7 linked regions of the Oryctolagus cuniculus genome follow. The protein of the gene in region 2 interacts with the protein of the main gene of each other region in a pairwise test. Links are inferred from orthologs where the notes say so. Each region holds a gene or a part of one and is shown on either strand. Other genes may lie near its edges. The genes, in order: SETX, UBE2I, MAPK1IP1L, EXOSC9, ADARB1, RAD51 and RNF4.

Region 1 (3,718 bases), on a different chromosome or scaffold from region 2:
GATATGAGATTTCCAGTGGAGAAAAGTCTCAGAGACAGACAGCAGAGTGGTTAGTGATTCTCACAGCCTGGGGTGAGGGTGAAACGGGGACTAATGGCAAAAGTACCATGAAAAATATTTCTCAAACACTATTAAACTAACATGTGCATTGAGTGACTTTTGTACTTGGGTAAGTGTGTTTCTCTTGGGTGTTTAGACCGGCGGAAGTAGATACTGTGGATGCGTTCCAGGGCCGGCAGAAGGACTGTGTCATTGTCACGTGTGTCAGAGCAAATGCCTTGCAAGGCTCAATTGGGTGAGTGACCTGTCACTGCTTTGTTCACTTGTTTATCATCCAGGACTAGATCATTGCCGATCCTGCTGCAGAACACCGTCGTTCGCTTTGTTTTCTGGTGAGATCTTGTGTAGCAGCATGAGGATGTCTGACTTGGAGACCTGTTAATTCTGCTTTCCCTGCTGTCTGCCATAGGAGAGGACTTGGCAAAGTTCATGGAAGAGTGAATGAAATTAGGAGATGTTTATTTTGCTGAAAAATATTTTTAAATCCATAGTTTTTTCATAAGTGAAATAAATAATTGGGTGACGCATATTTTGCAGGGGTATGCTACTCTTTTTTTTTTTTTTTTTTTTTTTTAAAGATTTGTTTTGTTTACTTTGAAAGAGTTACAGAGAGAGGTAGAGCCAGAGAGAGAGAAGTCATCCATTCCGCCAGTTCACTCCCCAAATGACTGCAAAGGCCAGAGCTGAGCTGATCTGAAGCCAGGAGCCAGCAGCTTCTTCTAGGTCTCCCACGCGGGTGCAGGGGCCCAAGCACTTGGGCCATCTTCCACTGCTTTCCTAGGCCACAGCAGAGAGCTGGATAGGAAGTGGAGCAACCGGGACTAGAACCAGCGCCCATATGGGATGCCGGCACTGGAGGCTGGGGTTTTACCCGTGTGCCACAGCACCAGCCCCATGGGTATGTTACTCTTCATGGCGTGTGTCCTGAGGTGGTGTCTTTCCTGCTTTGCCTGGGTTTGTTCTCTTTAGCTGCTGTCACTTAACTTGCTGAGGACACTCCCAGGGATGGCAGGAACGCCTTTAGTCTCTAGGAGTCTGTGTGGTGGTGTTCTCACTCATGCAAGGCAGGTAGGATGTACAGGTGGTCAACCTGTTTGACTATTCCTTCAGAAAATAAAACGTAAGTGCTCTCCGCTCCGCTGGGATGGGATGGGCCGCCTGCCGTGCGGAGCCCGGTTCCCACAGGACCATTTCCTGAAAGTGTGTCTGTTTCTGTGCTAGTTCGCAGTGTTCTAACAACACGAACACGCGTTTACGTTCATGAGTACATGAGCTTGTGTACTCTTAGAGAAGGTTTTTGAGGGACAGTGAGACAGAGACTGATAGAGAACAGGCTGTCATCTGCCAATGGAGTCCCCTGCTGCCTGCCGCATCCGCCCTGGGCTGGGGTCCGAGTGGCCAAGCCGGAACTGGGCTCAATCCAGGTCTCCCGCGTGGGCGGCAGAAGCAGTCCCTCCGCCGTGCTGCTGCCTCCTGGGGCCCTCGTGAGCAGGAGCTGGAGCCGGGTGTCCAGTCCAGGTGCTCCGATGCTGTGATGCAGGATCTTAACCACTCGGCTGATTGCCTGCCCCTGGGGTTATTTCTAAAACCTAAAGTCCTACTGTTCAAGTAGAATTTCTGGGGCCGGCAGTGGGTCAAGCCCGTCTGCAGTGCCAGCACCTGGCTGTCCGCCTCCGATCCAGCACCCTGCCGATGGCCTGAGAAAGCTGTGGAAGGATGGCCCACGTCCTTGGGCCTGCACCCAAGCCCGAGGCTTGAAGGGTGTTCAGGTTCCTGGCTTTGGCCTCGCCTGGCCCCGGCCGTTGCAGCCGTTTGGAGAGTGAACCAACAGATGGAGGATCTGTCTCTACCTCTACCTCTCCCTCTCTTTGTAACTCTGCCTGTCCAATAAAATGAGGACATATTTTAGAAAAAAAAATTTCTAGCATCGTATCACAGGCAAAATAGGAAGCAGACACGGCGCCCTGCTTGGTCTGTTCTGCCTTCGGTGGGAGTCGCTCCTGCGCCAGGGTTCCCCGTGCTTTCTAAGGCAGTGGCGGGAGCGCTGGAGAAGCCGTGTGAAGTACCGCCCGCCTGCCTCAGCCGTTCTAGACCAAGAAGAGGCTCTCTCTCGTTGCTTAGGTTCCTGGCCAGTTTGCAGAGAATGAACGTCACCATTACGCGAGCCAAGTACAGCCTCTTCATCCTTGGACATCTGAGGACCCTTATGGTAGGTACATGCTCGGGACCACAGCGGCGCCAGAGTGTGCCCTGCTTCCTGTGTCCCCCGCACCGGAGCGAGAGGGCGCGTCAGTGGGCACAGGAGCGAGAGGGCGCGTCAGTGGGCGTGGCTGACCACCCGGGGGCGTGGGAGGGACGGGCGCTCGTTGGCTCGCTTGGGGCGCCCAGTGCGGCTGTGCTCGGGGCTCCCCCTCAGCGCGCAGGGCTCCAGTGGCTCTGAGCGCCTAACCCTCGCTCACTGCCGTCCCCACGGTGGTTAGTGCCAGCAGAGGGCGCTCAATACACGTTCTCGCCTGCACCGGAGCCCTGTGCCTGCTCTGGGTCCAAGCGCTGTAGCCTTTGTTTTATGTACTTCTGTTTTTAAGTTATCAAGAAAATGTCACCGTAAGTTTAAATGCCACTACAGATGGATTTTAGACTGTTGTCGCCCTTAGCTGCAGCAGAAGGACAGAAAGATGGCAGTTCTGCCTCTTCCTGTCTCTGAGATTGTCTCCACTCCTGTTCGGGGCGGGGTCCGTGGGTGGTCTGTGCTGTGGCTGGGGCCCTTCTGCCGTCTCACCGTGTGCTCTGCGCAGATGGGTGCGGAAACGGGCAGTTGTTTCATAGCTTCGAGAAAACTATAAAGGGTGCGTAACTTCCTGTAAATTTGTAGTTGTGTCAAAATATTTTTTAGAAGTTATTTTTCCTGTGGCCATTGGAGCTGAGTGTTGAGAAAATCCGGTTTCTTGCAGGCGGGCTCGCGTGCCACAGTTGTGTGCACAGTTGAGCAAAGCGCGAGAGAGATTGGTGGTGACGCTTACGTTTGCAGAGTAAAGCGTCCCTGCAGGTTGGTCCCTTGGGTCTTGCTGGCAGGGTCTCCACACACAGCAGGAGTCGCGTGCCTGGTGGTGCAGCCTGAGAGCAAGCAGGGGGGAGCGTGAGGCGGCAGGACAGCCCGAGGGGGCGCAGGGAGCTGGTGTGGAGACGGCTGACACCCCGTCCTGGGCCGCTCTCCACTGCCCGCGGCTGGAGGAGGGCGGTGCCGTGACGAGAAGCCAGCTGCCTCCCTCACACTCGCCATCCGGCGTCCCAGCCTGTTCTTTCGTTCTTTTACTTAACTTTTTTTAAAAGATTTATGTATTTATTTGAAAGGCAGAGCTACAGGGAGGCACAGAGAGAGAGAGAGAGATGTAGAGACAGAGAGAGAGGTCTCCCATCCGCTGGTTCACTCCCCAGATGGCCACAATGGCCAGAGCGGCAGCAATCCTGAGCCAGGAGCCGGGAGCTTCTTCCGGGTCTCCCACGCGGGCGCAGGGCCCAAGCACTGGGGCATCTCCCACTGCTCTCCCAGGCCACAGCACAGAGCTGGGTCAGAAGTAGCTGGGTCTTGACATCGCCCGGATGGGATGCCAGCACTGCAGGCGGCGTCTCCCCGCTATGCCACAGCGCCGGCTCCAAG
Region 2 (4,164 bases):
TGACGCATCGGGAGGGGCGAGGAGAGCTGGGCCACGTGGTCAACCCCCATCCCGCGTGGGGAACTGGGTTCGAGTCCCAGCCTCCTGCCAACGCAGACCCTGGCAGGCAGACGGCCCCCGCCCCCCGCATGGCCCTGCCAGTCTCTCCAGCCAGGGGTGGGGCTTTGGAGCTGAGGCCACTGCCAGGTCAGGGACCGCGAGACATAAAGCTCCCTCTCGGAGCAGCCACCAGCCACCAGCGCGGGGTCCTGCCGCCGCCCCCCGCCCCGGCCGCTTACCCCCTTCTTGCCGGGGATGGCGCACTCCCAGTTCATGAGGTTCATCGTGCCGTCGGGGTTCTTGGTTGGGACAGCCACGAAGCCCTGCGTGGACAAGCAGGGGAGTCCCCGGGCGCTCAGGCCGCCCCGCCCCGCCCGCCCCCGCCCCCGCCCGCGGGCTCTGCTTACAAACGGGTGGTCCTTCCTCCAGGCCTTCCTCTCCTGGGCAAGTCTGCTGAGGGCGATGCCCGACATGTTCCAGTCCTGGGGACACGGGCGCCGTGAGGGCCCCACTCCCACGAGCCCGAGTCACGCCAGGCTGGGAGGGCCCCACACCTCAGGCCGCGGGCGCACGGCGCTGCTGAGGGGGGCAGCCCAGCGCCGCTGCCCCAGCCTGGCCTCCCCCACGCAGGGCGCCTGCGCCCCGGACCCGAGGGCCAGCGCCCTGACCAGGGCCGGCCACAGCGGCCCTCAAGGTCCAGGACCACAGCCCAGGGCCCAGGCCGCCGCGCCTGGACTCCACCAGCTGCTGTCTGCCCCGTCCTCGGAACCCACGGGTGTCGCCCTCCAAGTCCCTGGCTACAGAGCCACTCCACGGCTCACCTGGCACTGGTTAGAGGGGGAGGCTCTGCCCGGGGCGGGCGGCATCCCAGAACCCAGCAGGCGAGAGCCCAGGAGAGCCAGACCTCCACAGACGATCGGACGAGGACCACGGTCCTCGGGCTCCTGAGTGCCGGCGCCTCCGGCCGTCGCACACCGCGCACGGCTGCAGGCTGAGCCCACGGCTGCTCCACTTCCCAGCCGGCTCCCTGCGGGGGGACGCCCAGGGCCTTGGGCCCCTGCACCCGCGTGGGAGACCAGAAGAGGCTCCCGGCTTCCACACGGCCCAGCCCCAGCCGACGGGGCCGTCTGGGCGAGCCAACCAGCGGCTGCGCGACCTCTAACTCTGCCTTGACAATAAATAAACCTTTAAAGAGGCGAAGCCGCCGCCAGGCTGCCACGCCTTCCCGCACCTGGCGCCCCAGCCCGGGCCCCTTCCGGGAACAGGCGTGGCGGCCCGGTCCCAGCACACCTGCCTGTGGCTCACCACAGCCTCCACCTGCACGGGCAGCGCGCGAGCCAGCCCCGGGCGCCCTGGGGTCCCCGGAAGCAGGCAGCACAGCACGGGGCAGGGGCCGGCAGGGGCCTGGGGGCCGCGGGGAGCCCGACGTCGGTCCCCAAGGCTCCTGTGCGCCTCTCACACCCTCCCCGCTGCAACCCGCCCTCCCGAGCCAGCGCATCAGAACTGCACCCCTGCCCGTGCTGGGCCCGAAAGAGCTCCGCCCACAGAGACCCCCGCGGCGGGCGGCGCTGCCCGTCCGGGCCGAGCCACAGGTGCGCACCTGCTCGGCGCCGGGCGCCCGGCCTCAGTCTCAGCACGCAGCCGCGCTGGACAGGTGGGCTGCCGCGGCCCGCACCGGCCGCCTCCGTGGCCCTTCTCGGCCCTCCCGCACCCGCGGACGGGCCCTCTGGGGCATGCACCCCACGCCTCCCTCGGCTGCGCCCGACCCCCGTCCCGGGACCCCCGCGCCCCGCCAGACAAAGGCACAGCGGCGGGCTTGGCCAGCGGCCTTGCGGGAGAGGGCCGGGGCGCCGCGCGGGGCAGGCGGCCCACACAGGCCCCGGGAGGCGGACGGAGGGCCGGGCGCGCTCCGGGCCCCGAAGACGCGCGACCCCCGCGGCGGGGCAGGGGGCTGGGGGCCGCGGCCACGGCCTCACCTTGGCCGGCACGGAGCCGCCCGCCGCCCGTGGCGAGCGGGGCGCTCTCGGCCGCGCAGGAAAACTTCCCTCGGCGGCGGCGGAGCCCCCCGCGCGCCCGCTGGTCCGCAACCGGCCGCTCCCGGCGCCCTCCCGGGCGGCCCCGCGAGCCCCGCGGCCCGAGGAAGGCGCGGCCCGGGCGGCCGCCGTGACCCCGAGGCCGCGCGCCGCCCGGAAGGCCGCGGCGCCCGCCTCGCGCCCCGCGCGGGCCGCCGACGGCCCGGCCCGAGCCCGCGAGGCCCCCCGCCCGGCCCCGCTCACCTCGGGCGGCCGCGGCCCGGCGAGCGTCACGGACGAGCGGGGGCCGAGCGGCGGCGGCGGCGCTTCCCTTTGTCTCGGGACTTCCCTCCGGAGCCCGCTCCGCGCGCAGCCCCGAGCGCCGAGGACCCCGGCGCGGGCGGGGCGGCGGGGCGGGGCCTGGCCCGGGGCTGCCCGCCGCACGCCTGCGCCGCGCGCCGCCGCCGCCGCGCCGCGCCGCGCGCCGCCCGCGGCCCCGCGCGCTCCTCGCCGCCCGCGCCCCGCCGCCGCGCGCCCGCGTCCCGCGTCCCGTCGGGGAGCCCGGCCCGGGGGCGACTTTCCAGTCAGGCGGCGCCCTGGACACCTGTGCTCTTAAAGGAGCCGCGTCCTCGAAGTGAGGGAGCGTCTGCAAACTCTCCTTCGGGGCGGGCGGGCGCACTCGAGGATACGCCGGCGAGCAGCCGGGGAAGGGGCGCGCCGCGTTCCTCAAGGGCTCCCCGGATGCCCGGCGGGCGCGTCTCAGCGCGTAGGTTCCGGAGGTCTCCTTGGGGCCGGGGCCCGGGGCCGGGGGGCAAAGACCACTGAGGCCTACGGATGCCCGAAACGGCGCAGGACGGCGACAATCCCCTGAGTCTGGCGTCCTGTGAAACCCCCTGCAATTGGCCAATGCAGGGGCCTGGGCGGGGCATCGTCCAGATCCGCCCAATCAGCTGACGCCGTACGGAAGGCCGGACGCTCGCCAGACCGACGGGAGGAGAAGCGCCGACGCTCCCTAGCCCGGGGCCGTCCCGCCTGGGGGAGGGGCGCGCCGGGATTCCCGCGCGCGGTCTCGTCCCACGAGCGCGAGCGCGCGGTTCGCGGGTCCGCGCCGTCCCGCGCGGGCACGGCGGGGTCGCCCCTGGGGCTAGGGCGCCGTCCGAGCCGTCGGCGCGGTGGGCGCCCGGGGCCAGGCGATGGGGTCGGCCGCAGAGGGCCTGGAAGGCACTCATTCACGCCCTCCTCCAGGCTCCGCCGTCCGCAGCCTTCGCAGCTCTGGTTTGCCGGGACACGGAACGTGGCTGACAGGCCTGGCGGCAGCGGCGGAGACCCCCGAGGGGGCAGAGACGCCCCTCATTCCCCGCGCCCCTAGGTCCCGGTCCCAGCTTCCCCGCGGTCTGCGCTGGGCTGTGTGGCCGTGGAGAAGCCGCTGGACCGCGGCCCTGGGGTCCCAATGGGCAGGGGTGGGGGGCAGGGCCTAGGTCTGCAGGTGGGGGGGGTAGGGCCCAGGTCTGTGGGGAGGGGGAGCTGGGGGGCCCAGGTCTGCAGGTGGGAGGGGGTCAGCTCAGGGGTCCCGGATCCGCGGTCCTCCACACGGGGACACCTGGGGCAGGGAACCCACCTCAGATGGGCCAGGTTCAAAGGACACACTGAGGCTGGGGGGGGGGGGTGAGGGCCCCGGCCCCGCCTTGGGGGGCAGCCCTCCACAGATCACCCACAAATCCGGGCTGGGGGGCTGGTCAGAAATCCACACCTGAGCAAAACCCAGAACTCCCGAGAACAGGTGCGTCCCGACCCCGTGCCGGGGGCGGAGCCGGGGTCTGGGCCCACCCTCGGGGGGGGGGGGAGTGTGCGTCCCAGGACAGCCGGCGACCGCGGGCCCACCCCGCCTCGCACTCCCGCCCAGGGAGGAGCGCGCAGAGAGGCTGTGTCCCGGGGGGAGCGGAGGCCGGGCCCTCCTCCCCGTGGCCGCCCTTGGACGCCCTTCGCTGCCCACCGCCTGGTGACCGCGGGCAGCGCTGTCCCTGCCCCAGAGCCGCGCCCCGCCCGGATGCGGGACGCACCTGCCGCGCGCTCCCGCCTGGGCCTCGGCTGCCTCACTTCCGTCTCCAGACAG
Region 3 (3,718 bases), on a different chromosome or scaffold from region 2:
TTTATAACATTCCTCTCACATGAATTGTTTCTCATGGCAGCATGCTCAAAGACCTAAGGATTTCCTACTACGCTCCGCCTCTTAACATCTTCACACTGGGGACTAAGCATCCAATTCATAAACCCTTGAAGGACAAACCACATCCAAATGATAGCCTTGGGCTATTCGTTTTAAAAGATGTTCTAACTTCCACTTAAAGAAATGAAAGTTGAAACAAGATGCCATTTTTAAAAAAATGATTGATTTCTTTGAGAAGCAGAGTGACAGAGAGGAGATCCTCTATCTGTTGGTTTACTCCCCAATGACCACAACGACAGGGGCTGGGCCAGGCCTAAACCAGGAGCCCGAAACTTTGTTTGAGTCCCCACATGAGTACAGGGGCCTAAGGACTTGGACATTTTCCACTGCTTTGCCAGGCGTACAAGTGGGGAGCTGGGTTGGAAGTGGAGCAACCGTGACCTGAAGCAGCTGCTCATATAGGATGCCCACATAGCAGGTGATGGCTTAACCTGCTGTACCACTATGTTGATCCCAATACACCAATTTTTTAATGATAATTTAAGGTGATTTATAAATATAGTAATATCCAATGGTGAAAGAGGAGTTAGAGAAAAAGGTGACAGTATAAATTGACAGACTTTTCAGATGGATTTTAGCTAAATTTAACTTTTTGACTCTAAATTCGACTTCCGGTGCTTTTTCCTGGTGGCACAGCAGATGTGAGTGTTCAGAGATGTTCCTTGTATCATTCTTTAAGCAGCCTCAGCTGTCAGAGTATCTGTAAACTAAATTATGGATTGTTTTTGTGTGATGTTCAGCCATTAAAGGGGATGAAGTTGATGGTGCTGTAATGAACTGTTATGGGAAATTTTCCTGTGTAAATGAAAATACATAAATGATGAAGATTCCATCATTTATATGTATTCATAGAATATTCCTTATCTATGCATAATGTATGCATAGAAAAGTGCTTGAAAAATACATAAGAAGTGATAAACAGTAATTTTGAAAGTTTCTTTCTTTTTTTTTTTTCTTTAGGAAAATGTCTGATGAGTTTTCGGTAAGTTGGCACATTTATCCTTGATAAGTTTTGTTCTTAAGAAAACAGTATAGTCCTATGAGCCATTTAAAAGAGATGCTTTTTGTGATTCTTGGATTTGTTTTTGTCATATGATATTGATAGGTAATTTGCGTCAGTTTACTTTGATAATACATAGTTGAAAATATCTTGGTATTTATTTGTTTATGAATCCTTAAAAGAAAAATTTTAAGGTATTGCTTCTATTGCTCTTATTTATCATAATATTAATAATATGCAACATTTATTGAAATTATAGCAGGCACTAAGTTAAGTGCAGGTTATTTACTTGAGACTTTTAAAAATATATTTATTTAAATATTTGAAAGAGTTACAGAGTGAGGGGCAGAGAGAGAGAGAGAGGTTTTGACATCTGCTGGTTTGCTCCTCAAATGTTCGCAACAGTCAGGGCTGGGCCAGACCAAAGGAGCCTGGAACTGCATCTGGGTCTCCCACATGGATAGCAAGGGCCCAGGCTCTTGGGTCATCATTTGCTGCTTTCCCAGGCACATTAGCAGGGAACTGGATCAGAAGCAGAGCAGTTGGGACTCCAACTGGCACTCTGATATTGTAATTTGCTTCACTGGCCCTTTGAAACTTTAAAACAAAAAAAATTGAAGCTCAGAGAGCGTATTTGGTTTGTTTGGGATAAAACCAAGATTGAAATATAGATCTTGACCCTAAATTCAATTGTTTTATAAAATTTATTTGTTCTACTAACACATGACAGAAATGCAACACAGCATGTTTAGTTGTATTTAGAAGATTTGAACTTTTCTGAGGAATTTTCACTATAAAGTTGATATTCATGGTAATACCTCAAGTTTTGTATCAAAAGAATTGCTTTTTAAGTGAATAGCTTAGCTTCTGAAGATGCTATTGAGGTTTCTAATCCCTGAGTTTATTGTTCTCTCTGGGTATTTGTATTGTGTTGGTGTGACTTGTCCCTGAATAAGGCAGATAAGACCTGTCTGTTTTGTATTTCAGTTGGCAGATGCACTACCTGAACACTCCCCTGCCAAGACCTCTGTGAGCAATACAAAGCCTGCCCAAGCACAAGGCTGGCCAGGTTCCAACCCTTGGAATAACCCAAGCGCTCCACCTTCAGTGCCATCTGGACTCCCGCCAAGTGCAGCCCCCTCTACCGTGCCTTTTGGACCAGCGCCAACGGGAATGTACCCCTCCGTGCCTCCCACTGGACCGCCTCCAGGACCCCCCGCCCCCTTTCCTCCCTCTGGACCATCGTGCCCCCCACCTGGTGGTCCTTACCCAGCCCCAGCTGTGCCAGGCCCTGGGCCCACAGGGCCATATCCTACACCAAATATGCCCTTTCCAGAGCTACCCAGACCATATGGTGCACCCACAGATCCAGCCACAGCTGGCCCCTTAGGTCCATGGGGATCCATGTCTTCTGGACCTTGGGCACCTGGGATGGGAGGGCAGTATCCTACCCCTAATATGCCATACCCATCTCCAGGGCCATATCCCGCTCCTCCTCCCCAAGCACCAGGGGCGGCACCCCCTGTTCCCTGGGGCACTGTTCCACCAGGAGCCTGGGGACCGCCAGCACCATATCCTGCCCCTGCAGGGTCGTATCCTGCACCAGGACTCTATCCTTCCCCCAGTAATCCTTTCCAAGTGCCTTCAGGACCTGCTGGTGCTCCACCGATGCCGGGTGGCCCCCATGTGAGTATTTGATTTGTTACTTAACATGCACTGATCGTTGTATACACAACTAATAGATTTTGTTTTCCCCAGTTTTGGGTGAAAGATTAGAAAGCTTGTAAGAATTTTTAAAAGGATGTGTGTGTATAAAATTAGTTCCACAACTTCAGGTAAAGCATTTAAAAGGTGGAAAGCACAGCTAAGTATTCCTAGTACTAAAAATAGGAACAAAAATTTCCCAAAGATCCCAAACACTTTGTAATGTAGTAGGTGGTTCCCTCGCCAGCATCCTTGAGGTAAACTCCGAGATACTTACATTTCTTGATGTTTTATAGCATCTTAATGTAGTTTTACCAACAGTTAAATAAAAGCAATTTCTGCCTTTCTGGCTTAGTACTGAGGTAGACTTTAGAGCATCCAAGGTAATTAAGTATGTTATGTTGCCAGCTTTTCAAGCAGTTTTCCGTGGTGTTTCTCAGCCAAAGCTTTGTTAAATTCTTAGCTGCACCGGGCTCAAGACTATAGCACTGTTCTCTGGCGTATCATGTGTGATACTTTGTGCTTTACCTCAGTCAGGCTGAACTAGGGTTCACATCTCGGTTTGGGAGCTTGTCTTGGGCATTTGATTGAATATAAAAGCACCCCACTTTGCTCCTGAGGTAAACTGAGGACCCAGAGGCAACCTCAAGACTCTACTTAGACAAAAAAGATCTGGTAACCCACAAATAACTAATCGCATCTCCAGCTAGATTAATTAGACATGCACCTCAGCTCTAAAGGCAAAAAACTCTTATTAAAATGCCCCCCAAAACTACTTCCTTTCAGTAGTGTAACTACTTGCTATATATATTCTCTAAAATATTTTCTTTGCAAAGTCTTTGCCAAAATAACTAAGTGAGATGTCTTGCTGTTTGAATTTATTAAGCATTAAATTTATTTAAAGCCACAGCAAGGAGTTAATAAACTCCATTTATA
Region 4 (4,347 bases), on a different chromosome or scaffold from region 2:
TGCTCCACTTCCAATCCAGCTCTCTTCTATGGCCTGGGAGAACAGTAAAGGATGGCAAAGTCCTTGGGCCCCTGCACCCTTGTGGGAGACCCAGAAGAAACTCCTAGCTCCTGGCTTCAGATCGGTGCAGCTCTGGCCATTGTGGCCCATTGGGGAGTGAACCAGCAAATGGAAGACTTCTCTCTCTCTCTCTCTCTGCCTCTCCTCTTTCTGTGTAACTTTGACTTTCAAATAAATAAATAAATCTTTAAAAAAAAACCTTTAATACCAACAGTTTACTTTACTATTTGAGTCACTTAGCAACAATATGAATATCCTAAACAAAACCACTCTACCATCTAAATTTAATATTTTCCTAACTCTAAACCTGAGTATATTTCTATTTTACCTGCTAACTTAAAAACTTCAAATTCTGGGGCCAGCACTGCGGTATAGTAGGTAAAGCTGCTGCCTGCACCACCAGCATCCCATAAGGGCACTGGTTCAAATCTTGGCTGCTCTACTTCTGATCCAGCTCCCTCCTAATGTGCCTAGGAAAGCAGCAGAAGATGGTCCAAGTCCTTGGGCCCCTGTAGCCACGTGGGAGATCTAGAAGAAGCTTCTGGCTCCTGGCTCAGCTCTGACCACTGCGGCTATTTGCAGAGTGAACCAGTAGATGGAAGATTTCTCTTGTCTCTCCCTCAGCCCTGTAAACTCTGCCCTTCAAATAATTTTTTTTAAAAAATCACAGTTGTATTATCCTCATACAGCACAATTTATGGAGACAAAGATTTCCAATGTCAGCCATACCACTGACACTGTGTATATCAATAACCTACCCACATGAAGGATTTGGGTTTGTTTATAAGTTGTTCGTCCCATTGAAAAGGAAAACATTATCAATAGACTTAACGTGAGAAAATAAAAGAGAGATGATATGAAAGAGTCACAAGTTCTTTAAATTAAATGGTTCAACATATATCCAAGTTGCTATTCTTCACCCTTTAAAAAAAACAACAGGGATGGTACAAAGTTCCAAGAATAGTACTCAGAAAGTGAACCAGTATAAATCTAATCAACTAAGTTCTGAAAATCATAGTAATAGAGACCAATAAATCAACAATATTCACCCTAAGATTAATAATTTTGGGTATATGGCCATTGTGGCCATTTGGGGAGCAAATGAGCAGATGGAAGCTCTCTCTCATTCTGACTTTTAAGTAAATAAAGCTTTACCAGAAAAAGAATCTTAGGTATATTTCCCCACCTTTTCACCAGCAACAACACAGAGAGACTCAGTATCCATACACTTCGAATTTCTTAGACATCTTTCCAAGAGTCGATTCAACTTCACCAAAAGATCGGACTGCCTAAGAAAACAGGAATGGGTTGATGTCATGAAATATAATACCATTACATTATACATTATATTCATAAGGCACTAAAACAATAGCTTACTGTTATTAGATTCTCCTATGGTGAAAGCTTAAGAAAAAGATTTAAGTACCTGCCAGGTTCAAAAGCCGGGGCAGCCATCTGAGAGAGCTCAAGGTTACAAAAAAGAATACCTTCTGTTGCTCTATTGAGTTTTGGAGCAACAAGTTCACAGGAAACCTGTCCAAGAACTCTGTAAAGATAAAGGCACAAAGCAGTTTGCTAAATATATTTCCTTTCCAATTAAAAAAAATCTTAGACAACATTGTCTTACTCTACGTAATGCTATACTCAGAACGATATATTCTGAAGCAGAAATTACATATGGAATATATGCAGAGATAAAGGATACACTCTTATAACAAAATTTACTATTTCACAGACTTAGAAGGAAATCAATGACCTTTACTTCTTCCTGAAACGAGTATTTATCAATACAAAATGTCATGGAAACTAGAATTCTTAAGGGTTTTCACATGGCATGGTTTAGCAACATTATCTGACCAAATAGCCTCAAAAGTTTCAAGTGAATATTAAAAACCTAGTTTTCACGTCACTCAGGAAAAAGAGGAATGTGGGACCTATTAGTGCCAAAATGCTCGCAATCTCTACATCCCTCACTCTCTACGGTGAAAGGAGTTCAGGAAACAAATACAAAGTAACCACTGCTGGTCACCTACATGATTTGTAGAGATCAGATACTCATGAAGAAAAGATGTTCAGGATTAAAAACTTAAGGCATGACCACAAAGTACTGTCCCGACTTCTGTGCTAACCACTCCTTGTTGAATCTGTCGTCTAATCTGAACTCTCTTACCTTGTTTTCCCAAGTTCCACAATACAGCACCCATAATCTGTCCCAAACGAGATCCTTATGTTCCTATAATCGTAGGTCTGTCTGCCATCCAGCCGCTGTAAGCACAACATTCATTCTCTTATTCCTTCAACAAGTATTTCTTGAGCAATTACTATGCGTCCGCCCTGGAGCAAAGTGGGATCTTAACCACCCCATCCCGCTAGGAGAGCGGAAGCTAGATGCCCAAGCACTGGAAGTTGCTGGGACGACTCACGCCTCGAAAAGAACCCGTTGGGGTGACATATCGCCTGAGAGGCTGGGGGAACATTCCGGCTGGTTCCCCAGGGCCTCCTGCGGCCCACGCTGGTAAAGTCTGCGAGTTCACCCCGTGTGAGCTGAGCGCCCGCGCGGCGCGCAGTTTCGCGGGGGGGCCGTTTACCTTCTTCTCTTCAATGGCACGGAGTAGGAAGCGGCGCTCGCAGTTTGAGAGTGGCGTTTCCTTCATGGTGTAAGCTCACGGGCCCCACGGGCACCAAAATCCGTGAGGAAACGCGAAGACTCTAGACCCGCGCTCCGCTCGCTCTGCGGCGAAGGAGATTTGCGTCATCAGGGCGCGACGGCTGCGGGTGGGAAAGCTGGGGGCTTGAGCCGTCGCTAGTGCGCAAACTCCAAGCCTGGCTGGGTTCTTCCGAGGGGCACTGGAGCTGCAGAGGCGGCTTAGAGACGGGTGTTTCCGACCTTAAAGTCGGAAGGTTCCTTTAAGGTAAAGTGCCAGGGGCTTAAAAGACGCACACGATAGCCACGTGGTTGACAGACAATAGCATGAGTAGACCACTCTCACACTCTGCCGTTCCTCAGTCCCGGCGCGGGCGAGGCTGCAGGGGTGTTACTGCTGTTTCACTGATGAAGGCGTTGATGCTTGGCCACTAGAAAGCTCCAGAGGAGGGTTTGGAGCAGGTACCGTGGAAAAACACTGGACACAGGGCGCAAAAGAGACAAGCGGGATTGGGAGAAGACAGTCGCGGCGGTGAGCTGGGACGTTCCTGCTGGCTGAGGTGAAACAGATCTAAGAAGCTGACAAGATTCGAGGTCGTTCCTGCGTTGTGTTATCGCCGTGGGCTGAAACTACACTGTCCATAGGCTTATTGTTAGGGGCAGACAGAAGCCTTGTTGTGGCTGTGCTGCCAAGCGCTCAGCTTTTTTGGAGAGAAAGATTGTCAAATAGCAGTAGCTTCCTCCTATGAAAGCGGTGGAAGATAGCTCAGTACTGGGGCTGCTGCCACTCACAGGGAAGACCCGGATGGAGTTCCGGGATCCTGGCTTCCACCTGACCCAGCTCCAGCTTCTGTGGACAAGGGAGTGAACCAGCCAGCGAAGATTCTCATTATCTCGTTTTCTTTCTTTCTCTCCCCCACCCCCACTCTGTTGCTCTGCCTTTCAAATAAATAGAGCTAATAGAGGTTTTAAAAACAAAAACAGGAACTCGAAACTGCCCAGATTCGTATTCACATTGTGCCATCCACTAGGTCTGTGATCCTGGACAAGTTATTTAGCCTAGATGATTCACAGTACTCAGTTGCAAAATAGGGATGATAAGTTATTATGAGGAATAAAACCTAATTAGGACACATAAAATGCTTAGAGCAGTGCTTGGCTAAGCACTATTTGCTTTGTATTTTGTTTCCCTTTGCTTTGCATGTGGTAAGCATCACAACTCCTACATAAAATCGATTCCTCTCTTTTATCTCTTCTCACACTTTGTTTTAGTGAGATTAGATTTTAGTTTCTACCTCTTGCTGTCTAACCTAGGTACTCAATATTTAAAGACGGTTTACTGTGTCCCAAGAATAACTCCAGGGCTAGGTTTAAAAAAAGGGGGGGGGGTAGACAAGATCCTTTCTTTCAAGAAATTTGTTTCTTTAGAAGAGACAAAAACTTAACTAAATAGAACAATTTCAGACCCCTATCAGTGCTGAGAATGGGAATCTGGCTGGCTGGCTAGCTCACTAGGCTAATCCTCCACCTAGCGGGGCCGGCACACCGGGTTCTAGTCCCTATTGCCCCCCTTCCAGGCAGCTCTCTGCTGTGGCCCGAAAAGGCAGTGGAGGATGGCCCAAGTGCCTGGGCCCTGCACCCGC
Region 5 (4,216 bases), on a different chromosome or scaffold from region 2:
CAGGGCCAGGTCCCCAGGGATCCGAGAACATTCTCCCGAGGAGGGCTCTGGGCGAGGTCAGTCCCTGCACTAGTCCAGGCCTAGGGACATCCCAGGCCTGCGGCCACTCTCCACCCTCCCTAAGGCCTTGGCCATCAGGAACTCGGCCACGCTGACCGGCAACCCCCACTGGCTTCAGAACTGAACCTACGGCAAAACGTGCCCCCAACTAAGTCCTGTGCCGGCTGCAAGAGGAGCCTGATAAATGCTTTCTGGGGTGGATTGGGAGAGAGAGACAGAGTGAGACAGAGAGAAAATGAGCGTAGCACAGCACGTTTTAGAAAGTTACAAAGAAAATCAGCACGTTTTCCATTAAAATTCTGTCTCCTGGCCAGTGCTGTGGCACAGTGCATCACGCTGCCGCCTGCAACGCCGGCATCCCCTGTCACCCCTATCAAAGCGCTGGTTCAAGTCCTGGCTGTTCCACTTCCAATCCAGCTCCCTGCTAATGTGCCTGGGAGGGCAGCAGGAGACGGCCTGAGTGCCTGGGTCCTGCCATCCACGTGGGAGACCCAGGTGGAACCAGCCTGGCCCAGCCTCGACCATCTGGGAAGTAAACAACTGGATGGAAGACCTCGCTCTATTACACTGTCTTTCAAATAAAAGAATAAACCTTTTTAAAAAGCCAGATATCAGCTTTAAGTTTGATCATAAGCTTGATCGTTTTGCTTAAGTTTTTTGTAGGCTGGTAAGTGGATAACTTCATCTATTAATCTCTTAAATGTACTTTCTAACCACCACCTAATTAAATAACACACTTTGTTCCTGTGTGCTTACAGAGTTAATCACAGCATTCAAGGGAATAAACCCAGTGCTTTAATACATCTTACAGTGAAGGAATTTTGATAATTAACACAAAACAATCAGTAGGTCTTGCTTGCAGTCACGAATAAGAATCGCCACTGTAGCACTGTCTGTCAGAGGAAATATTAAAAACCGCATTACAACTGCCGGCAGGGACTAGGGCAGGGACAACCCACGACCATCGCAGCAGCAGGGGCAGGCAGGCGAGGGGCTGCGGCTGGGAGCGAGGAGTTCACACCTCCCGGGGCACACACTGGCACTTTTACATCCATAAATAAAACCGTGCAATTTCACAACTAAAATTATAAATTTTATTTTTAGGACGTAACGCTACGTGAGTGACTAACAAACTGCCAGCAGCATCTCTCAGCGCTGCCCACCTTGTCCGGCACCGGGAGAGCCTGCTGCCCGGCAGGCCACGGTCAGCATGTGGGAGATGAATTAGGAGCGCTTCAGTCATGCACCAGACAGGCCTCAAGTCCGAAGAACTCTCTTACTGCAAACATCTGCAAGCAACGCTTTATGACCCGTAAACAGGCAAAGGCTGAGGGCCCCGGGAGTGAGCGCCCAACGCCCCGGGGGCCCGTCCGCTACCACTGCCCCCGCAGAAAGGCCTCCTCCTTCCCTGCCAACCTGACCTGGACGTGGCTGAACAGCCCCAGCTCGGGAACCGACGGGCACGGCCCACAGACAGCGGGCCCCTCTCAAAGCCTCTGCGCCCAGCCCGGCCGTCTCATCCCATATTTATCAAGCGCCTGCGGTGGGTCCCGCACCCTCCCAGGCACCGCAGCAGCCACCTCTGCCTCTCTCCTCCTCGCCCCAGAAAACCCTGGGCAGGCAAAGGGGCCGGGCGGTCTCTCCCCAGGGGAAAGGCAGTCATCAGAGGACCTTCCCAGGGCCCGGCCGGCTCCCGGGACCACCCGGCGGGCCGCACCTTTCAAAGAAATGAAAGGTTCGGGCGAAGGTGGGAGAGAACAAAGAGGACCAAGTGCAAACCTGGTTCTCCACCGCTCCGCACCGCAGGCGGAGTGCAGCAGCAGGTGCCACAGCAGGACCCTCTCAGACACTCGGGGCGCAGGCACAGCGCCCCGGGCTTCGCGGCGACCACAATGCCTTCATCAGAAGCAGCAGCCAACCCTGCTGGCTAAAAATGCTAACTGCGAACCCAGCACCCGGCGCAAACCCCGGGCAGCCCGCGGCCGGGACTCCGCACCGCCCACCCACCCACCACGCGGCCATCCTCCTACCCGACCCCGCAGCTGCCAGCGCCGCGGGAACTTCCCCGCCCCGGGCTGCCCGCGGCGCAGAGCCTCCCGCCGGACGCCCCCCGAACGCAGGGTGCAGCCCCACGCCGGGTGCACGCCCCCTGCCCCGCGGCGCGGAGCTTCCCACGCGGACACGGTGCCCTCAGGAGGGGACGCGCCGCCCGTCCAGGACGCAGCCTCCCCGTGTCGGGGCGCAGCGTCTCCACCGCGGGCGCAGCCCGCCCACCCTGGGGCGCAGCCTCCCCACCTTGGGGCGCACCCTCTCCATCTCGGGCCGCAGCCTCCCGCCCTCCCGGGACGCAGGCTCCTCAGCCCCGGCGCAGCGACCCCAGCCCCGGGCGCAGCCTGCACTCCCGGGCGCCGGGACCCGCCCGCAGCCCCGCGGCCCCGCAGCCCCGTGCACAGCGCCGGGCCGGCGCGCGGCGTCCGCCCCGAGCGAGCGCCGTCGGCCTCCGCACCTGTCCTCCCGGCTTACATAAACGGGGCCCGGGTGCCCGCCGCGCCCGCCGCCCCCGGCGCCGTGCCCGGCCAGCCCGCCCGCCCTCCCGCCTCACCTCGCGCGGCCTGCTCGGGACGCCCGACGCCGCAGCTGCGACCCGGCCCGGCCCCGAGCGCTGCGGCACGGCGCGCCGGTGGCTCGCGCCGCCAGAGCCCGGCCGCCGACCTGGCCGCTCGGCCGCCGCCGCCGCCGCCGCCGCCGCCGCCGCCGCCACGGCCCCTCAGCCGCCTCAGCGCCAACGCTGGCCGCGGCTCCGCCCTCGCCACCGCCCCCGCGCGGGCGGGCGGGCGCGCGCGCGCCGTGGGCGGGGCCGGCGCCGTGACGCCGACGTGCGCGCCACCGCCGGTCGCCGTGGTGAGGGCTGCGGCTGCGGGCGCTCCGGCAGTGCCCGTGCGCCGGCGCTGCGTGGGGGTCCGAGGGGCCGGCGGGCAGGTGTCGTGCCGCGGCCTGCGGGGCGACCCCGGGGTTGGAGGAGGCCCGCGCGGCCCCTGAGTTAGGTCTGCTCGCGTCAGGTGCCAGGGCCCCCGGGCCTGGAGCACGTGCCCGGGGCGGGGCGCGGGGCAGCACCTGGGCGCACCTGCACTGCAGGCCCGCAATGGAGCGAGGCGGCTGTGAGTGCGGGGCGCGTCCCGGGACCCCGTTGAATGGCGGCTGGCTGCGCGGGGTTGCCTTAGCTCGACAGTCAGGCGCTGTGCGCAGTGAGCGCCCTCCCCGGCTTGCTGGCGAGCCGCGGCGAGGCCCCGGCTCCAGTTCAGGCTGCAGGGACCCTAGGGGGGCACCGACCCCGTCCCCGCTTGTTAACCAGGGGCAAAGGGCGAGCGCTCAGTCCAGCCTGGTACCAGGCCCCCGGCTGCCGGCCTTACCCAGGGTCTTGTTTCAGAGTGGCCTCCAGGGAGGTCAGCGGTCTGCAGCCCCCGGGCAGTGCTGCCAGGGCCCTTGTCTGCTTCAGCCACTGGCGAAAAGGGGAAAAACAAAAACAAAAGGCTGTCTTTGGGGCCAGCCGGGTGAAGGAAGCACTCACCTTGCCAGGGAGTGGCGAGAGGGGCCTGGTGACTGCTGAGTCAGCGTCGGGACTGCAGGGCTGCCTCCTAGGGATTCGTCCGTGGAGGACAAGCACGTGTGCAGGGATTTTGTGTCTGTGGCCGTGGCACAGCTGTTCAATCGCTGTGACCCCGTGGGCAGCAGCTTGGGCAGGTCAGGCTGGGCCAGGCCCTGCTTCTGGGCCATACTGCAAGAGGGTCAGGCCGTCCGGCCCCTCAGCAGCACAGCAAACATGAACCCCTGCTTCCGGCCCCTGCTGATGTCTCCGCGGCTCTCCTTGGCTAAGGTGCATGGGACGCCCCGGCCAGGCTGCGCGTGAGTCGCTCTGCATGGGCAAACGGCTGTGAGATTCGTGGGTGCGTCCCCACCACACCCGTGCACGGCCTTAGTGGGTTTGGGTTTGACTGGGGGAAACCGGCAGCATTTAGTCAAGTTGTTACCGGTGAATGGCAGGGTTCTTGTCTTCACACGATAAAGAATTCAGGCATGAGACAGAGTAGTGGAAGGTAAAATAGCAAAGTTTATTAGGGCAGGGACATCCGTAAGAACAGATGGGCACCTCTCCAGG
Region 6 (4,407 bases), on a different chromosome or scaffold from region 2:
TCTGCCTGACTCAGATGTGGCTGTTGTGGCAATCTGGGAGTGAACCATTAGATTGAAGCTCTCTCACCCTCTCTCTGTTGATCTACCTTTTAAATAAATAAATAAAACTTGAAAGAATTCTTCCTTAATACATACAAAATGTGTATATGTAAACAACTATGCATGGATTTCAAAGTTGATTTGCAACAAAATAAACTCCTTATTTTAAATTCCACTTCCCATGAACTTTCTGAGGTACCCTCTCTCATCTGAGGACAGTCTGACAGATAGGAATTCCAGGGCATGTTACAGAGCAGCAGGTTCAACACCCGCTTCCGAACACCTGCATCCCATATTAGGGTCAATCTTGTCTCCTGATTCGGCTACCTGCTAATGTGCTTGAGAAGGCAGTGGAAGACAACCCAAGTGCTTGTGCCCCCTGCCACACAAATGGAACACCAAGATAGAGTTCCTGGCTCCTTGCTTCAACCTGGCTCAGACCTGGCTGTAGCAGCCATTTAGGGGAGTGAACCACTAGATAGAGGATCCTTCTCTCTCTCTCTGCCTTTCAAATAAATAAGTATATTCTACCAAAAAAAAAAAAAAAAAAGATGAATTCCACACTTGGAGGCTTGACAGACAATGCTGGATGACCATCTGGTCTGGCTCAAGTACAGATCTCTTAGCAGCAGATTTAGCATACTGAGTTGATAAGAATGCCATGTATCAGAATCAGCTGAATGCAACAGAAAAACCTCCACTGTCTAATTTATGAAAATAGATTCACTGCAGAGCAATGGGGAAGGATGGTCATCTCAGTAAATAGTACTGGGCCGACTGGGTAGTCTTGCAGAATAAAATGGACTTGATCCCTCTCATATCACAGAAAAAAAAGTCAATTTCCAATTTAGATTACAGATTTAAATTTAAGAGGTAAAAACAATCATAACCAGACCAGGAGAAGCACCTGGCTCCTGCCTTCGGATCAGCGCGGTGCGCTGGCCGCAGCACAGCAGCCATTGGAGGCTGAACCAACGGCAAAGGAAGACCTTTCTCTCTGTCTCTCTCTCTCACTGTCCACTCTGCCTGTCCAAAAAAAAAAAAATATATATATATATATATACACACACACATATATATATAAAACCATGGGAAAGGCCGGCGCCGCGGCTCACTAGGCTAATCCTCCGCCTAGCGGCGCCGGCACACCGGGTTCTAGTCCCGGTCGGGGCGCCGGATTCTGTCCCGGTTGCCCCTCTTCCAGGCCAGCCCTCTGCTGTGGCCAGGGAGTGCAGTGGAGGATGGCCCAGGTGCTTGGGCCCTGCACCCCATGGGAGACCAGGAAAAGCACCTGGCTCCTGGCTCCTGCCATCGGATCAGCGCGGTGCGCCGGCTGCAGCGCGCCGGCCGCGGCGGCTATTGGAGGGTGAACCAACGGCAAAGGAAGACCTTTCTGTCTCTCTCTCTCACTGTCCACTCTGCCTGTCAAAAAAAAAAAAAAAAAAAAAAAAAACAAAAACCATGGGAAAGAGAAAGAATTCTTCAACTGGATACCTAGTGTGATAACCAAAAAGGAAAAGACTGAAAAACTGGGCTACACTTACACTCAGAACTTCTATCCCTCAAGATACCATTAAGAGAATGAGAAGTCAAATAAAGAAAATATTTACCATATAAAACTGATGGCTGTTAATCAGAATATAAAGAATGCCTTCAAACCAGGAGGAAAAAGATAATCAGTAGAAAAATAGGTAGAAATTGAATAGCCACTTCACAAGACGTCCAAATGGTCAAGAAACATATGAACAAATGCCTAACCTCATCAATATCAGGAAAGTTAAAATTTAAGCCACAATGAAATATTACTATTTACTAGAATACCTAAAAATAAAAAGAATGACGAAGATCAAGTGTTGGCAAGTATGTGGAAAAAGTAAACTCTCAAAACTTCTGGTGCATTCATACAAAATTCAAAAACAGCCGGTATTCGTTAATGGTATACACGGTTAACAGAAGAGAGAAAATAAGCGACAAGGGGGCAGAAGAGAGGCTGCTGGGGTGCTGACAGCATTCTGTTTGACATGCATGATTACACAGGTGTATTCATTTTGCAATAATCGCTGTATACGCTTGGGACGTGCGCGTTTCTATATTGTGTTTCAGTCCACTTTAGAAGGCTTTCTGCGTGCCAAATCCCACTTCGGAAAATTTCCTAGGCACCATATGAATGCTTTTCCATCTAAAGCATGAAAATATCTTTCTGGCAACTTAAGGTTGGTACTTTGTAAGCAGAAAATGGTGTCATGGACAGACGGAGCAGAACACGGAAATGCAGGCGGCGTGAAACAGCTGTGACTACACTGCTCAGGACAGGCGGCCGCTGGGACTCTCCACAACGAGCCCCAAGTCCGTTGGGCGCAGGCACGCCCCGGCTCCGCCATCTTCCGTTTTTTCACCAGCAGATCCCAAAAGCCGGCCGAGGGAGCACAGGCCCCTGTCTGCGCCCGGTCAACGAGAGGAGGAGCCGCGGCCGTGGAAACAGGCCAGGCCGACGACTTACACTCACCTGGGCCTAACAGCGTTGCTCGCTCGGGCTTCTGTCCGCTGATCCGGCGCACGCTCGACCCCCGGAGGGCCTCGGCCCCGACCCGAGACCCACTTGTCCACGCCTTGCTCCGGCCCTCTGCGCACAACCTCGGCGAGTTTCAAATCCAACCCCGTGACCAGCGGAAGGTTTCAGCTCCCCTCAAGACCCGGTCAACACAGCTGGTCCTGCGGGGCGGCTTTCGGAAGTCCCGCCAAAACCCTCAGGGCGGCGTCACGCACGCGTCGGCGTCGCGCCGCCCCGCCCCTCGCGCTCCGCCGGCCGCCCGAGCTCGGGGCCGTAGGGAAAGGGCTGAGGAGCTTGGCACCGCGTGGTGTTATGAGTTTCCCACCTCCCTTAAACGCAAGGACTAATCAAAACTTTCTAAATCGCCACCTTCTTGTCTTCACGAGATGGAGGACCACAACTCCCAGGAGCTGGAGTGGTGGGGCCGGGGCTGTATCTCCCGGGAGGCGCCGGTGGGCGCTCTGACTTCCGGGAGACCTGTTGGTTGTGTCTGTAGTTCTTTGAATGTGGGCTTTTGGTTCTTCTGGGAGCTGTACCCTGGAGCCGAGCGCTTTCCAGGCCCCCGACAGGGGTGGAGTTGAGGAATCTGTGGCAGATGGATGAAAATGGAGCTAGCAGAGGGGAGAAAGAAATGTCTCCGTGTCTGTCATCTGCAGTGACTTACTGGAGATTGGCAGGACCCCAGAGGAAGGAGGCGCAGAATTTGAGAAGGCAAACCTTACGGTTTACCAGGACGTTCGTCCTGTGATTCCGATTTTGAAAGCTGGGTAGAGTTTTTGGGTGAAGAAGCAAGCGGTGGAAGACATAAAAACAGTGCAGTGTGGGCTTGCGGATAAACTTTGTTCAAGGAATAATGTTGTCTGATGAGGAAGAATGGAGACCAGGAAAGTTACATTTAGTTCAAGCTAAGAGGTGTAAGGAGCTTTGGTCTTTACTTTGGGAAATAACGAAGTATTTCTTTTAAAGTCAGAGAGAAGGGGTTCTTCCATCCGCTGGTTCACTTTCTTTGGGCTGGGCCAGGCCAAAGCCAGGAGCCACGAACTCATCAGGGTCTCCCACGAGGGTGACAGGAACCCACATAATTGGACCATCATTTGCTACCTCCCAGGTTCATTAGCAGGTTGTGGAGATGAAGCTCCTGGCACCTGGCTTCAGCCTGGCCCAGCTCCTAACCTTAACGCCATTTATGCTGCGAACCAGCAAATGAAAGATCTATCTGTCTCTGTGTAACTATGCCTTTCAAATGAATAAAACAAATCTGAGAAGAGGAGGGGAACAGAGGAAGAACTTCATCCCAAGCACTCTGATGCTGGCATCCCAAGCATCCGCTTTTAGCTGCTGTGTCAGAACACTGACCCCCAAATAATTCAGTTTTAAGATGAGTCATAGGTTAGATTTACTTTCCCCCCTACTACTACTATTTTCTGTTTGTTGAGTGCTTTAAAGTTAACAGCTCACACCATCCTCTTGCCATCATCTCGTGGCATTAAAAAACAATTTCAAGAAGGAGCAGAGACAGCAAAAATCCATTCAGAAGCTTGTGCAACATTTCAGGCCAGAGTTGAAGGCTTAAGTTAGGGCATCGACAGAGAACAGATTCAAGAGCCATTCTAGACCTAGGAAAAATCTTTAGTAATTTAGTGATTAACTTAGATAGGGCCTAGGATTACAGTAAACTATTTTCCATACAAAAACTACCCACTTTCGCCCAACCCCTTGTTCATACTCTTTCAGCTCAAAAAGTCTACAAAACCACAGTCCTTTCCCCACCAGTGAGGTCACATGACTTTGACCTTTCCAGTCACAACTAAGCGACC
Region 7 (4,195 bases), on a different chromosome or scaffold from region 2:
GTCCCATCTCTCTGGTTCCTGCGTGTGTCTCCAGTCTGTGCCATCTCTCTGGATCCTGCGTGTGTCTCCAGTCTGTCTCATCTCTCTGGATCCTGCGTGTGCCTCCAGTCTGTGCCATCTCTCTGGATCCTGCGTGTGTCTCCAGTCTGTGCCATCTCTCTGGATCCTGCGTGTGTCTCCAGTCTGTCCCATCTCTCTGGATCCTGCACGTGTCTCCAGTCTGTCTCATCTCTCTGGATCCTGCGTGTGCCTCCAGTCTGTGCCATCTCTCTGGATCCTGCGTGTGTCTCCAGTCTGTGCCATCTCTCTGGATCCTGCGTGTGCCTCCAGTCTGTCTCATCTCTCTGGATCCTGCATGTGTCTCCAGTCTGTCTCATCTCTCTGGATCCTGCGTGTGCCTCCAGTCTGTGCCATCTCTCTGGATCCTGCGTGTGTCTCCAGTCTGTCCCATCTCTCTGGATCCTGCACGTGTCTCCAGTCTGTCTCATCTCTCTGGATCCTGCGTGTGCCTCCAGTCTGTGCCATCTCTCTGGATCCTGCGTGTGTCTCCAGTCTGTGCCATCTCTCTGGATCCTGCGTGTGCCTCCAGTCTGTCTCATCTCTCTGGATCCTGCATGTGTCTCCAGTCTGTCTCATCTCTCTGGATCCTGCGTGTGTCTCCAGTCTGTGCCATCTCTCTGGATCCTGCGTGTGTCTCCAGTCTGTGCCATCTCTCTGGATCCTGCGTGTGTCTCCAGTCTGTCTCATCTCTCTGGATCCTGCGTGTGCCTCCAGTCTGTCTCATCTCTCTGGATCCTGCGTGTGTCTCCAGTCTGTCTCATCTCTCTGGATCCTGCGTGTGTCTCCAGTCTGTCTCATCTCTCTGGATCCTGCGTGTGTCTCCAGTCTGTCCCATCTCTCGGGATCCTGCGTGTGTCTCCAGTCTGTCCCATCTCTTGCCACACTTCCTGCACAGTCTGTACTTCAGTGTCAGGGACTTTCTGGGTCTCTCAGCCCTTAGCTCCAGGAGAGGCACCACATTCCTATTTTGTTCACTGTTGTAATCCACTACTGTTTGCTTCAAAACTGTGCTCAGAATATTAAAGTGTGTCTTCTGAAAGAGGGTGAAAAATCCTACTTATTTTATGTATTAAGAACAGATACATGGGGGCCAGCGCTGTAGCGTAGCAGGTAAAGCCGCAGCCTGCAGTGCAGGCATCCCATACGGCCACCGGTTTGAGTCCTGGCTGCTCTACTCCCCATGCAGCTCTCTGCTGTGGCCTGGGAAAGCAGTAGAGGATGGCCCAAGTGCTTGGGCCCTGCACCCGTGTGGGAGACCCGGAAGAAGCTCCTGGCTCCTGGCTTTGGAACAGTGCAGCTCCGGCCGTTGTAGCCATCTGGGGAGTGAACCAGCAGATGGAAGACCTCTATCTCTCTACCTCTCCTCTCTCTCTGTAATTCTACCAAGTGAATAAATAAATCTTTAAAAAAAAAAAAGAACAGATATATGTACAGTACACAAAGGACATACCATAGGAGCCAGCACTCTGGTGTAGCAGTTTCAGCCTCCCAAATGGAAGCCACTGGAATCCCAGCTGCTGCACTTCCAATCCCAAGCCCTGCTAATGCGCCCGGGAAGCAGATGGCCCCAGTGCTTGGGCCCTGGGCCGCCTTGGGAGACTCAGATAAAGCTCCTGGCTTCCACCCAGCCCAGCCCTGGTTACGGCGGCCATTTGGGGAGTGAACCAACAGATGAAGATCTGTCTCTCCCTTTCTCTACAGATGTTCACAGAATAAAAACCAGACACACAGTATGCCCATATACGCGGCCCTAACGTCATGGCGGCGAGCAGTCGGGACCCTCTTAAGCGTCATTAGTGAGGTTCCGGGTCAGGACTGGAAGGTCAAGTTCAAGCAACACAACGACCCCAAACTCACAAGCAAAACCGACCCAGAGCAAAAAAATCCCCTTCAACGCCGCCGCCTCCCACGGCCACACGGCCCGCACTCCGGGTCCCGCAGCTAGAACTCGGCTCCACCGTGCGACCGCGGGCCGCCCGCCTCACCCCCCAGGACCCCGGCACGGCTGCGCAGGCCGAGACCCCGAGCGTCCGCGGGCGCCGCAGGAAGACAAAAGCTGCATCCCGCAGGCGCGGCTCGCCCAGGCTCGGCCCTCCCCGCCCGAGGTGGACGCTGGTGGGCGCCCGGGGGTCCGCCGCGGGCTCCTACACGGGCCTCCGGGGCGGCGGCCACACGCTGCACCCGGAAGCGCGGGCTCCCCGGTTCCAGGCCCCGCGCCCAGCCGAGCCGAGCAGCGCGCCCGCCACGCGGCCAGGCGTTCCGGCGAGCTCGCGGGCCCCCGACGGCGGGCGGCGGCGCCAGCACAAAGGAGGACACGAGCCTTCACTGCCTCCCCGCCGCCGGCAGGCCCGGGCGCCTCTCCCGTGACCTTGGGCGCCCCGGCCCGAGCCTCAGTTTCCCTCTCGGAGTTCCGAGCCCGGTCGTGCGGCCGCGCCGGGGGAGCCCCCTAGACCTCCTCTCCCGCGCCCAGCGAGGCTCGGGACGCCGGCGCAGGCGGCGGGGCGGGTGGGCAGAGGCGGCCCGAAGTCCCGGCAGGCCCGGCCGGCCACGGGGCCCGCAGCGGGTCGCGCCGCGCTGGGCGGCCGCCGGAGGCGCGGACGCCGAGGCCTGGACAGGCCGCGCGAACGCGGCGTCTGCTGGGCCCGGCCGCCGCTCCCTCCCCGAGGAGCGGGCCTTACTCGGAGCTGCTCCGGTCCGGGAGGCACCGCCGCCACTGTCCTGGAGCGAGGAAGCACCTCTAAGCCGCTGAGGAGAAGCCCCCGAGCCAGGCGCCGCCGCCTCCACAGCAGTCCACTTCCGCTCCCGAGGCCCAGGCCCCGCCCCCCGCGCGTCCCCAGTGGCCGCCGCCTCCCCTTCGCCCGCGGCTGCCGGGGAAGGAGCCCTGTTTCCAATTCTATTGGATAAGGAAGACGTCCATTACCACTTTGAACCGCGTCGCTTCCGGCCCCGCCCACGCTCGCGCGCCTCAGCCCCCGCATTCCCGCGAGAGAGCTTGTCCGCGCCGCGCCGCCTGCAAGGCCTGTCGGGAGTTGTAGTCTGAGGGTGGTCCGAGCGCTTGGCCCGCGGCAGCTGCCCGCCGACCCCCGGTGACCCGCTCTCCGGAGCCGAGGGGGCTCCGAACGGTCCCGGTCCTGCGCTGCCACCCCGCACAGCAGCCACCATGGCGCTAACTTACGAGGCCGGCCGGCGACGTCAAGCTGGACGTTGGTCCAGACCAGACGTTGCGCCCAGCTCCCCGGGCCTGTTTCCTTGCCTGTTAACGAGACCTTGGAGAGGAATATTCCCGGGGCACGAGCTGGAAGCCGGGCCTGGATCAGCGCCGCCTGGTACCAGGCCCTGGACGGGGCGGGGCGGTCACCGTCCCCGCGAGGACCGGGCCCAGTCCCCACTGGCGAGCCCAGAGGGGCCCTAAACCGGCTTGTCTGGGAGGGCTGTCCAGAGGAAGCGAGCTTGGGGCCAAGAGCCGGAGTACCGGGCGGAAGAAGCAGAGAGTTGGGCAGGAAGCAGGGAGCTGGGTGTCCCGCAGCCTGGGGAGGGGAGTCAGGGTGTCAGGGGCCGGGTGGGCAGGAGGGGTGGGCGAGGGCCCGCAGGGAAGGCACCCCAGGACCGGCCTGGAGAAAGGTGTCCTCCCAGCCCCGGGCGCGGGCGGAGCCCTGGATGCCTCCTGCGGGCATCTGAGCCCCCGGGTCTCAGCCTGCCCTCACCTGTGATCCCCACACCGCCCTGGCAGGTGTGAGCCCCGCGGAGCTCCAGGCCCTGCGCTGGAGCCGGGCCTGTGATGCTGAGGCTGGCTGGACCCCTGAGTCCCAGCCCCGGCTCTTCCTTCCTAAACTTCGCTCTGAGTTGAGGCAGTGGGCACTTATCTCCCCTGCAGATAGCATCTGGACCCTAGGTCTGGCCTTGAGGGATTTTCTTTCCAGGAACTACTATGAGGGGTGGACAGGCAGGTGGGAGGTTAGGTCAGTACCCACAGGCATTTTGTCAAGGCTACACAGAATTATCATCCCTGCCTTCTGACTAGCTGTCACGCTGTTCCTCCACCTCTGGTTAGGTCTAGGTCTGGTTTTCAGAAAGGGGCCAGAGAGCCTTCATTTAAAAGGCAGTCATGGGGCCAGTGCTGTGGTGTAGCGGGTAA

The links.
Region 1: the proteins of UBE2I (region 2) and SETX interact in binary tests that used the Homo sapiens proteins (3 or more experiments, as listed by UniProt). The link is inferred for Oryctolagus cuniculus from reciprocal best matches to the Homo sapiens genes UBE2I and SETX.
Region 3: the proteins of UBE2I (region 2) and MAPK1IP1L interact in a two-hybrid assay, tested with the Homo sapiens proteins (3 studies listed by BioGRID and IntAct). The two-hybrid records come from large-scale screens. The link is inferred for Oryctolagus cuniculus from reciprocal best matches to the Homo sapiens genes UBE2I and MAPK1IP1L.
Region 4: the proteins of UBE2I (region 2) and EXOSC9 interact in a two-hybrid assay, tested with the Homo sapiens proteins (2 studies listed by BioGRID and IntAct). The link is inferred for Oryctolagus cuniculus from reciprocal best matches to the Homo sapiens genes UBE2I and EXOSC9.
Region 5: the proteins of UBE2I (region 2) and ADARB1 interact in a two-hybrid assay, tested with the Homo sapiens proteins (2 studies listed by BioGRID and IntAct). The link is inferred for Oryctolagus cuniculus from reciprocal best matches to the Homo sapiens genes UBE2I and ADARB1.
Region 6: the proteins of UBE2I (region 2) and RAD51 interact in a two-hybrid assay, tested with the Homo sapiens proteins (3 studies listed by BioGRID). The link is inferred for Oryctolagus cuniculus from reciprocal best matches to the Homo sapiens genes UBE2I and RAD51.
Region 7: the proteins of UBE2I (region 2) and RNF4 interact in a two-hybrid assay, tested with the Homo sapiens proteins (3 studies listed by BioGRID and IntAct). The link is inferred for Oryctolagus cuniculus from reciprocal best matches to the Homo sapiens genes UBE2I and RNF4.

The regions. Positions count from the first base shown.
Region 1 is NC_091432.1:234,563,565-234,567,282, reverse strand, and holds part of SETX (probable helicase senataxin), read left to right. Parts: intron 1-196; coding exon 197-295; intron 296-2,181; coding exon 2,182-2,269; intron 2,270-3,718. UniProt on the Homo sapiens protein: Probable RNA/DNA helicase involved in diverse aspects of RNA metabolism and genomic integrity.
Region 2 is NC_091450.1:33,712,203-33,716,366, forward strand, and holds the start of UBE2I (SUMO-conjugating enzyme UBC9), read right to left. Parts: upstream 2,922-4,164; 5' UTR 2,656-2,921; intron 2,473-2,655; exon of another isoform or gene 2,316-2,472; intron 2,169-2,315; exon of another isoform or gene 2,016-2,168; intron 522-2,015; 5' UTR 513-521; coding exon 447-512; intron 363-446; coding exon 279-362; intron 1-278. UniProt on the Homo sapiens protein: Accepts the ubiquitin-like proteins SUMO1, SUMO2, SUMO3, SUMO4 and SUMO1P1/SUMO5 from the UBLE1A-UBLE1B E1 complex and catalyzes their covalent attachment to other proteins with the help of an E3 ligase such as RANBP2, CBX4 and ZNF451.
Region 3 is NC_091443.1:21,422,626-21,426,343, reverse strand, and holds part of MAPK1IP1L (MAPK-interacting and spindle-stabilizing protein-like), read left to right. Parts: intron 1-1,038; 5' UTR 1,039-1,042; coding exon 1,043-1,060; intron 1,061-2,065; coding exon 2,066-2,764; intron 2,765-3,718.
Region 4 is NC_091439.1:43,254,532-43,258,878, forward strand, and holds the start of EXOSC9 (exosome complex component RRP45), read right to left. Parts: upstream 2,830-4,347; 5' UTR 2,715-2,829; coding exon 2,649-2,714; intron 2,326-2,648; coding exon 2,231-2,325; intron 1,607-2,230; coding exon 1,487-1,606; intron 1,350-1,486; coding exon 1,247-1,349; intron 1-1,246. UniProt on the Homo sapiens protein: Non-catalytic component of the RNA exosome complex which has 3'->5' exoribonuclease activity and participates in a multitude of cellular RNA processing and degradation events.
Region 5 is NC_091435.1:1,560,293-1,564,508, forward strand, and holds the start of ADARB1 (double-stranded RNA-specific editase 1), read right to left. Parts: upstream 2,845-4,216; 5' UTR 2,663-2,844; intron 1,246-2,662; exon of another isoform or gene 1,224-1,245; intron 1-1,223. UniProt on the Homo sapiens protein: Catalyzes the hydrolytic deamination of adenosine to inosine in double-stranded RNA (dsRNA) referred to as A-to-I RNA editing.
Region 6 is NC_091443.1:63,837,665-63,842,071, reverse strand, and holds the start of RAD51 (DNA repair protein RAD51 homolog 1), read right to left. Parts: upstream 2,808-4,407; 5' UTR 2,546-2,807; intron 1-2,545.
Region 7 is NC_091433.1:1,253,861-1,258,055, reverse strand, and holds the start of RNF4 (E3 ubiquitin-protein ligase RNF4), read right to left. Parts: upstream 2,899-4,195; 5' UTR 2,739-2,898; intron 1-2,738. UniProt on the Homo sapiens protein: E3 ubiquitin-protein ligase which binds polysumoylated chains covalently attached to proteins and mediates 'Lys-6'-, 'Lys-11'-, 'Lys-48'- and 'Lys-63'-linked polyubiquitination of those substrates and their subsequent targeting to the proteasome for degradation.